Callithrix jacchus: one gene and its partner. The protein of the gene in region 2 interacts with the protein of the main gene of each other region in a biochemical or structural test. Links are inferred from orthologs where the notes say so. Each region holds a gene or a part of one and is shown on either strand. Other genes may lie near its edges.

The links.
Region 1: of the proteins of BMP1 (region 2) and CHRD, one has a biochemical effect on the other in vitro, tested with the Homo sapiens proteins (3 studies listed by BioGRID and IntAct). The link is inferred for Callithrix jacchus from reciprocal best matches to the Homo sapiens genes BMP1 and CHRD.

What each region holds. Positions count from the first base shown.
Region 1 is NC_133516.1:13,356,685-13,361,197, forward strand, and holds the start of CHRD (chordin), read left to right. Parts: upstream 1-1,538; 5' UTR 1,539-1,547; coding exon 1,548-1,695; intron 1,696-1,886; coding exon 1,887-1,990; intron 1,991-2,435; coding exon 2,436-2,565; intron 2,566-2,721; coding exon 2,722-2,850; intron 2,851-2,941; coding exon 2,942-3,041; intron 3,042-3,166; coding exon 3,167-3,254; intron 3,255-3,614; coding exon 3,615-3,756; intron 3,757-3,858; coding exon 3,859-3,999; intron 4,000-4,080; coding exon 4,081-4,163; intron 4,164-4,240; coding exon 4,241-4,388; intron 4,389-4,513. UniProt on the Homo sapiens protein: Dorsalizing factor. Key developmental protein that dorsalizes early vertebrate embryonic tissues by binding to ventralizing TGF-beta family bone morphogenetic proteins (BMPs) and sequestering them in latent complexes.
Region 2 is NC_133514.1:19,321,598-19,325,948, forward strand, and holds the start of BMP1 (bone morphogenetic protein 1), read right to left. Parts: upstream 3,002-4,351; 5' UTR 2,788-3,001; coding exon 2,640-2,787; intron 1-2,639. Other genes in the region: SFTPC (surfactant protein C), read right to left, coding at 4,131-4,271. UniProt on the Homo sapiens protein: Metalloprotease that plays key roles in regulating the formation of the extracellular matrix (ECM) via processing of various precursor proteins into mature functional enzymes or structural proteins.

The DNA of each region.
Region 1 (4,513 bases), on a different chromosome or scaffold from region 2:
GTGTGTGTGTGCATGCATGCACTGGTTAAGCCTTGGCTGAGGTGCTGGGGTCCAGTGGCTTGGATGGCTACACGCAGACCTCTGTGCCCAGGGCCCTCCTTTGCTTGTTCTGTCTCCCTTCCATCTCCTACCGTTCCACATGTGACAAGAGGAACACCCAGGCCCGTGTGGCCCTGTCTTAGGAGAGACAGCTGCTGGACCTCCCCGGCAGACACCTCCCTGCTGGCTCCCCTTTTCCTTTGGCCCTAGCTCCAGCTCCTTTCGTTCTTCCCAGTCCCAGTCTCCCCACAGTCTCTGTCCTCAGGGGCTTCCTGGCCTGACCTTGTTACCATCATCCCCCGCCCCCCAGAACTTCCTCGGCCTCTCTCCCGTTCCTCCTCGCCAAGGATGGGCATGCCTGCTGAGAAGTGTGGCCTAGATCCTGGAATTTTCCTGCTCAGCCAGACGAGATGTCTCCTAAGATTAGGAAGGAGGGTGCTGGGACGCCTGGGAGGATGGTGGGTGTGTGTGGGTGGGAGGGACAGGGAGGCAGGCGCCACCACCGAACCAAGATAAAGGAGGTTGGGAGTGGGCTGGAGAGGCAGAGGGTCTCTTGGGTGAAGGAAGGGGGTGAGAAAGCAAGAGGGGACATTGGAATGGGTCTGAGGATACGTTACAATGAGAGGGAGACACTGTCACTCCACAGAAAGGGGGTAACAGCAGAATGAGGAGCGGCCTCAGAGAGGAGGTAAGGAGGCAGGCTAGGCAGTGAGAGGCTGGCGTGGGGTTTGAGGGGTGCTGTGGACCCAGGCAGGGGGGAGATCCGTTGATGGGGCTTTCTTGTACATTGTCATCTGCAAGGGCAAGTCTTCATCCTTCGGGCGGGCAGAACAGAACCGGGTCCTCGCTCACTGAGCGGTCCAGGCCTCAGGCCTAGCCTCTGCCCCTCCCTGGCCAGAGTCTCCCGTCCTGGGCTGGCCACCGACCTCCTGGTCCAGCCGCCCTGTGGCCGCCGGCGGGGGGGCGGGGGGGCTCCGGGCCCGCCTCTCCTCCCCCTCTTCGCGCCCCCTGGTCCCTCCCCTCCCCCTCCCCCGCCCCTCCCTCCTCCCCTGCCCGGTCCCAGCCCCTCCCTCCCCTCCCCCACCCGCGATCCGGGCCGCCGCCGCTGGGCCGGACCCCCCGGGCTCAGCCCGGCCCCTCGCCGAGCCGCCGCCGCCGCCCCGTTTGCTGAGGAGGAGGCCCCCGGCCGGGGCGTTGGGCGCGAGGCATAAAACGGGCCGGAGCCGGCGCCCGGGGCAGTAGAGCCGCGTACGGCCCGGGTCAGTGCCCGCCTGCCTGCCCGCGCTCCTCCCTGCTGCTCCTCCCGCCCCGCCCGGCCCGGCGCCGACTCTGCGGCCGCCCGACGAGCCCCTCGCGGCACTGCCCCGGCCCCGGCCCCGGCCCCGGCCCCGGCCCCCTCCCGCCGCACCGCCCCCGGCCCGGCCCTCCGCCCTCCGCCCTCCGCCCCCCTCCCTCCGCCCGCTCGGCGCCCTCCTCCCTCCCGCCTCCCCAGCTGTCCCGTTCGCGTCATGCCGAGCCTCCCGGCCCCGCCGGCCCCGCTGCTGCTCCTCGGGCTGCTGCTGCTCGGCTCCCGGCCCGCCCGCGGCGCCGGCCCTGATCCCCCCGCGCTGCCCATCCGTTCCGAGAAGGAACCGCTGCCCGTTCGGGGAGCGGCAGGTAGGTGGGCGCCCGGGGGAGGCGCGGGCGGGAAGTCGGGCTCGGGCGCAGGTGGCTCGGCGCGGCTGGCGGCCGGAGGGTGGGCGGGGGCCGAGGGGCGCGGCGCCCGGGACCTGGGACCCGTGGGCAGCCCCAGGGGCGGCACACGGCGCGAGCAGGGCAGCGGCCGCCAGCCAAGCCCGTCCCCGCAGGCTGCTCCTTCGGCGGGAAGGTCTATGCCTTGGACGAGACGTGGCACCCGGACCTGGGGGAACCCTTCGGGGTGATGCGCTGCGTGCTGTGCGCCTGCGAGGCGGTGAGTACACCCCGCAGCCGGTCCGGGCCCTGGCGGGCGGGTGGGGAGCCCCGGGGTGCGCGGGCGTCGGAGTGAACTCGGAGCTGCCGAGGAGGAGGCCAGTCGGCAGAGGTTGGGGGGCGGTTTCTGGTGGAGGAAGAGGAACCGGCCCCTTCAAGTCTTAGGTGCTGACTGTGACTGATCGCCCACCCTGCGCGAGGCTCTGTGCCAACTGCGTTTCGTTCCCTGCTCACCTAACTCCCCTGGCAGCCTTCCTAGATAGACAGTATTATTATTCCCATTTTCCAGACGGGGACCGTGAGGCCCAGAGAGGTGAAGCAGCTTGTGTAGGGTCACGAAGCTTGCAAGTGGCAGAGCTGGCAGACTCTGCGGGACATCCTTGCCCGGGGGTCTCACCAGCTGGCATCTTGCACTCACTTGGTTTTCCCGCCTTTTCCGGGAGCAGCCTCAGTGGGGTCGCCGTACCAGGGGCCCTGGCAGGGTCAGCTGCAAGAACATCAAACCAGAATGCCCGACTCTGGCCTGTGGGCAGCCGCGCCAGCTGCCGGGACACTGCTGCCAGACCTGCCCCCAGGGTAAAGCTTGCTCCGCCCTGCGGGGAGGGCTGCGGGCCTTGATGCTAGGTCCCGAACCACTTGGATGGGGCGGCAGACTGGCCTTTACCACGGGCCCGCTGAAGCCCGTGCTCCCCTCCCGCTCCACCCCCGAACCACCCCCCCACCTCTTCGCAGAGCGCAGCAGTTCGGAGCCGCAGCCCAGCGGCCTGTCCTTCGAGTATCCGAGGGACCCGGAGCATCGCAGTTACAGCGACCACGGAGAGCCAGGCACTGAGGAGCGGGCCCGTGGTGACGGCCACACGGGTAGGGGGCTGGTGGACATTGGGGTTGTGGTTGAGGCTGGGCCACCAAAGCAGCGTTTGACAGTGCTCAGGCCATCTTCCTCCTGTCCCAGACTTCGTGGCGCTGCTGACAGGGCCAAGGTCGCAGGCGGTAGCACGAGCCCGAGTCTCGCTGCTGCGCTCTAGCCTCCGCTTCTCCATCTCCTACAGGCGGTGAGAAAGGGGAAGGAGCAAGGAGGGGTCAGCTGCCGGCCGGCCGGCCGGGAGGGAAACTGGGAGAGCCGGGAGGAGGAGCTGCTTTTGGCTCTGACCGGCCTCACCCGACCTCTCATTCCCAGGCTGGACCGCCCCACCAGGGTCCGCTTCTCAGATTCCAATGGCAGTGTCCTGTTTGAGCACCCTGCAGCCCCCACCCAAGATGGCCTGGTGAGATGATGCCATTTGTGAGCACTGGTCCAGTCTGGGCACTGTGCTGAGAGCATTCTCTGCATTGCCTTCTGTGGTCCTCACCACAGCCCAGTGGGAAGAAGGCACTGACAGGATGATGTCCATTTTACAGACAGGGGTACTGAGGCTCAGTAGGAGGGTGGGATTCTTGGAAGTACACAGCTAGCAAGTGGTGCAGCCAGGGCTGGAACCCAAGCATCTGGCTCCGGGGTTCTTTCTTAAGCTTCCTAGGGCACCCTGGAGGCTCCTTCCCATGTTCCTTTTTCACCAGGCCTTGGCCTGCTAACTGGCCTAGCCAGCGCAATATCTGAGCGTAGGGCCCTCTTGTCTATGCTCCAGGTCTGTGGAGTGTGGCGGGCAGTGCCTCGCTTGTCTCTGCGGCTCCTTAGGGCGGAACAGCTACATGTGGCACTTGTGACACTCACTCACCCTTCGGGGGAGGTCTGGGGGCCTCTCCTCCGGCACCGAGCTCTGGCTGCAGGTAGGGAGCACAGAGCCCCGGGTGTGGAGCTCCAAGTCTTCTCTGTCCCCAGGAAAGGGGAGGGAGGTTTCTGACGGGCTCTTGTCATCATCCCTTCCCCAGAGACCTTCAGTGCCATCCTCACACTAGAAGGCCCCCCACAGCAGGACGTAGGGGGCATCGCTCTGCTCACTCTCAGTGATACAGAGGACTCCTTGCATTTTTTGCTGCTTTTCCGAGGGCTGCTGGAACCCAGGAGTGGGGGTAAGTGGGATGGGGGCAAAACATGTGAGAAGGTTAGGGAGAGCACCTGTCTCAGAAAGGCCCACATGTGCGGCCTTGCAGGACGAACCCAGGTTCCCTTGAGGCTCCAGATTCTACACCAGGGGCAACTACTGCGAGAGCTTCAGGCCAATGTCTCAGCCCAGGTGAGTGGGGACCTGGCTCTGGCCACCACTTGCTTTGGCCTCTTGCTATTGCCCATCACACCCTGCTCTGTCCCCAGGAACCAGGCTTTGCTGAGGTACTGCCCACCCTGACAGTCCAGGAAATGGACTGGCTGGTGCTGGGGGAGCTGCAGATGGCCCTGGAGAGGGCAGGCAGGTCAGGGCTGCGCATCAGCGGACACATTGCTGCCAGGAAGAGCTGTGACGGTGAGGCAGGGTGGGGCCTGGTGCCCTGGGCGTGTACAACTGAGAGGCACAGACACGTGCCAGGGAGGGGCCAAAGTGGGCATGGGAGTGATCCTGAGGCCTGGGGGTGTAAGCAGCCATGGGGT
Region 2 (4,351 bases):
AACAGACCAGCCTGGCTTCCTGCGCACTGTCCTGGTCTTGCCCAGAAGGTCCAGGAACCTCTCCAGGGTATCAAGGGTCTTAATTTTGCCCTTACTACAACGGCAATCATAACTCGGCCAGTAATGGCCAGAGGTGACTTCCAATGAAGGGAGCTGGCTATCCTCAGAGCAACCCAAGAGGTCACAGGTAAGCTGTGGGAGTCAAAGGAGCTTTCAGTCCCAGCCTTTGAAAAGAAGCAGGGACAGCCACGCTTGCCATCATCACCTCCAGCATCTGGAGGTCAGGGCTGCAGAGGGTAGAGGAAGCAAAGCCAGGAAGGAGAAGGCAACATGGAGAACAGAGCCCAGGGACTGGTGTCCGGAGGGCAGTAGCCCAGGGGCGTGGGTGTGAGCGCCTGGAAATGCCCATGTGAGTATCCTTCAGAGGTGGGCAGCAGGTCTCAAGCATCAGTCACACCTGAGAGGGAGGCTTGATCTGACGAAAGGCCTGGCCTTGTCAGGCTCCGGGGCCCTCTCAGCTGCCCCCAGGCCTGGCCCAGCGCCCCCTCCAGCCTCACTTCACCCGGTTGGAGTGCTTTCTCCAGAACCCTTACTCACAGCTCCAACTCAGCCAGCCCCACCTTAGCATGAAACCTGAGACTGGGGGGCGAGAGCCCTCAGCCTCCTACTGCTCTGAAAATCACTCCCATTTCCAACAAGAAGGGAAAGACATCAGAATGGCTTCCCACCATTCTTTAAGGCCTGGCCCCAGCCCCAAATCCTCCATGAAGACCCCACAGATCTTCCCAGCCTGCTGTGATCACTTTTCTCTGCCACCACCAGGCTGAAGACAGACAGGAGACTCCCTGAGCCTTTAGCGTCCTACCCTCCAACATGGCACTCAGTGTGGCTTGGTTTGTGCCGTTGATTATGTCTGTAGGTGTCTTAGGTCCCTACTGGAGCATAAGCTCCTTGAGGGCAGGGTCCTAGCTTGTACATCTCAGCACGTCCCACAAGTTCCATCCCAGGCCATAACACATATTATGTTTTGATGGATTGACGGATAAGAGGCACAAAGAGACATCAGCAATCCCACACCCCTCAAAAAAATGAAGTGAGAGTCTGAAGCACAGAAGACAAGGAGTAGGGAGCCCACATTTATTTAGTGCTGACTGTGTGTTAGGCACTAATAAGCGTTTTATGTATGTTCTCATATTTAACGCTTTCCACCAACTCTCCATTTTACAGGTGTGAGAACTGCAGTTCAGACATGATAATTACCACTTCCAGGTCGCACAGCTATCATGAGTGGCTGGGTCAGGATTGGAAGCTAGATGTGCCTGCCTCCAAAGCCCATGTGCAGTCCCTTCTGCCCTGTGCTCACTCCCAGCACCCAGCAAGAAAAATGACAGCGAATGTCCTGGTTTATGCTCAGCCCAACAGGTGTGGAGGGGGAAGGGCTGAGGCATTTGCCCTGATCTCCACTGGATGTGTCTCTCATTCCTGCCTGTGGTCCATCTTCCCGGGAGAGTCACTGAACAGGGTCCCCAGAGCCAGGATTAGAGCAGCCTGCCCCTCCGCCCCCTGTGCCCCATGCAGGCAGTCCGATTCTAGGATCCGTGCCACTTCCCCTGGCTCTGGCTATTTGGAGATGAGCTGAAGTCAGGCAGGAAGTCGAGGAAAAGTTCTGCTTTCTTGTCCCTGTGTGTTCCCAAACAGCCTGCTCAGGGTCACGCAATCGGGCAAATGGCCCGAGTGCCTGACCATCTGGTCACTCCAGGGACAGGACCCTCCTGGGCCCAGCAGGAGTGAAGGGGTTACATAGAGACAAAGAACACACACACACACATACAGGCAAACACACACTCCGGGGCCCTGACATCGGCTAATTAACCTCTGGTGTCTCAGGGGTGGCAGAGCGGATATACAATATCTGGGTTCTCTTTGTATTTTCCCTCTTTCCACCCCAACTTGGCCTTGGCAGGGGTGTCTGGGCACATAGGGGCAAAGGCAAGTCCCCCTTCTGGGCTGGCTTCTCTGACTTTGACAGCTGTCTCCTAAGTCCCAGAAAGCTGCAGCTACTGGTTAAACCACGGGATACCCAGAGAGCACGGTCTCAGGGAATCCCTGGCAAAATTTCTTTCACTTGGGCTGGGTGGTGGCCTCGGACTTGCTCCTTGGCGACTCAGGCCTCCCAGCTCCAGGCCGGACAGATGTGCAGCCCCAGGGCAGCCCACACAGGCTGAAAAACACCCAGCTCCTGGAGCAGGAGAGATGAGGGAGAAGGGGAAAGAAAACTCATGCACGCACGCACACACACACACACACACACACACACGCACAGGAGTTTGGCCGGAAAAGTTTCCTACAGAAGGAAAAGCAGCCTTGCCCGCAGGTTTTCCCGGGACCCAAGGAGACTTCCCCAGGAATCCTCTGGGAAGATGAGAGGCGGCGGCGGCAGCTTCCACCAGCAGCAAAACTTCAGTCCGAAAAGTCCCCCAAACCCCCCTTCCTCTCCCCCTCGTTCTTTTGTTCCCCACTGCATTGCCAACCAGGCAGCTCCCGGCTTCCCACACTGGACTGTCCTCCCCCAACCCCGAACCCGAACCCGCCCGCGCCTCCCCGCCTGGCCCGCCGCCGGGGGACCGGGGGGCGCTCACCCGCCTTGCAGGGGTCTTTGTAGTTGAGGGGCTCCGGGTCGTCCTCCTCCGCCAGGTCATAGGTGTAGTCGGCCAAGTCCAGCGGCCGGCCGGGACGCGGGAGCAGCAGCAGCCCGAGCAGCAGCGGCAGGCGGGCCACGCCGGGCATGCTGGCGGGGCGGCGGCGAGAGAAGCGGGCACTGGAGGCCAGGGGAGGGCGTCCCTCGCCCGCTCGCTCGCTCGATCGCGACGGCGACCGCGACCGCTCCCGCCCGCGCTCCCCGACCTCTTCCCCTTCCCTCTGCTCGCCTCCCTCCTTCCTGTCTCCCGCCCCCCGCTCGGCCCGCGGCTCCGCGTCGGTCCTCGGGCTCCAGCCGTCTCCCTCTCCCTTCCCTTCTTTTTCTCTCTTTCTTTCTCTCCCTCCCGTTCCGCCCCCCCTTTTTAGGGAAATGAGCTCGCTGGAGGGCGGGTTTTCGCCCGAGCTCGGCCCCCCTCGGGGCCGGGACTGTGCTCTGCCGGGCCGGGCCGCGCGCCAGCCGTGGCTGGGAAGGCGGGGAGCCGCGCGCCCGCGGAGGGGGCTCGGGCCGCCCGGGGCGCGGGCCGCGGGGCCGGGGCGGGAGCTCGGTCCCCCAGGGTGCCTGGCGGGCTGCCGCTCCCGATGTGCCCTCTAGCGGCGGCGTCCCCCGCGGACGCCCGGCCGAGCCCCCGCCCCGCCGCGGGACACGCTGTCAGTTTCTCGCGCCGCCCCTGCTCCTCGCCCCCGCCTCGGGTCGGTCTCTCAGCCCGCGTCTCCCTCGCTCCCCTTCTCGGACCCTCGCTCTCTCGCGTCTCGCTCTTTGCGCTCTCTCTCGCTGTCTCGGCGTCTCTCCCTCCTCCCGAGACGCCGCTGGAGGGCGCCGAAAGCCCGTGGATGGCTCCCGGCAAGTCCCTCTACCCCGCCGGGGTGGACCCAGTCCTTCAGTGCCCTGAGACAGAGGAAGAATGGCAAACCCCTCTCTGCTCCCTCAAGTCCCTTCCCTTTCTGGCCGGCCGCCGCCGGGGCAGCACTGCGTCCTGCGGGAAGATGGAAGCAGACCCTTTGCTTTTCAATTAGGCTGCTTTATTCTGTTGTGGCAGGAGTTCCCCGGCCCCTGGGCGCCACCTCCGCCCACTCCCATCCTCTCCCCAAATTCCCATTTCTCCAGGGCCTGTCCCCGCGGTGTGGGCAGAAGCAGCTTCTTGCCCGTCTGCAAAAGTTGCAAAAGACCCTTTTCTCTGGGCGTTTCCTGTCCCCTTGGGGCTTCCACTGACCCTGTGAAGCAAAGGAACGTTGAGGTTGGACAGAGGTTCCCGGTAGTGGGAAATACGGGTATGAGCCTCCCCTCCCCTGAGCTCCCTGAATGACCAGGCTTCAGTGGACGCCCCAGCGCCTGGTCAGCCTGAGCGCTCCTCCACTGCTCAGCGCAGGTGGCCCGAGGGCTCCTCCGCTGCTCATCAGGGTCCCTGGGATCACACCTGCTCACCTGAAGCGTTCTAGATGTAGTAGAGCGGCACCTCGCCACACAGGGTGCTCACAGCCATGCCCAGGAAGCCGGAGTCCCCTCTGGAGGGTGCTGAGCCTGCATCACGCCCCTCCTCCTGGCCCAGCTTAGAGGTTGGCATTTCGGGCTTGGCCTGCAGAAAGCATTCCATTTGGAATCTGGGAAGTGAGTTTCTATCCCATGTGCAGCCCGGATTGTCATACTTCAGGCATG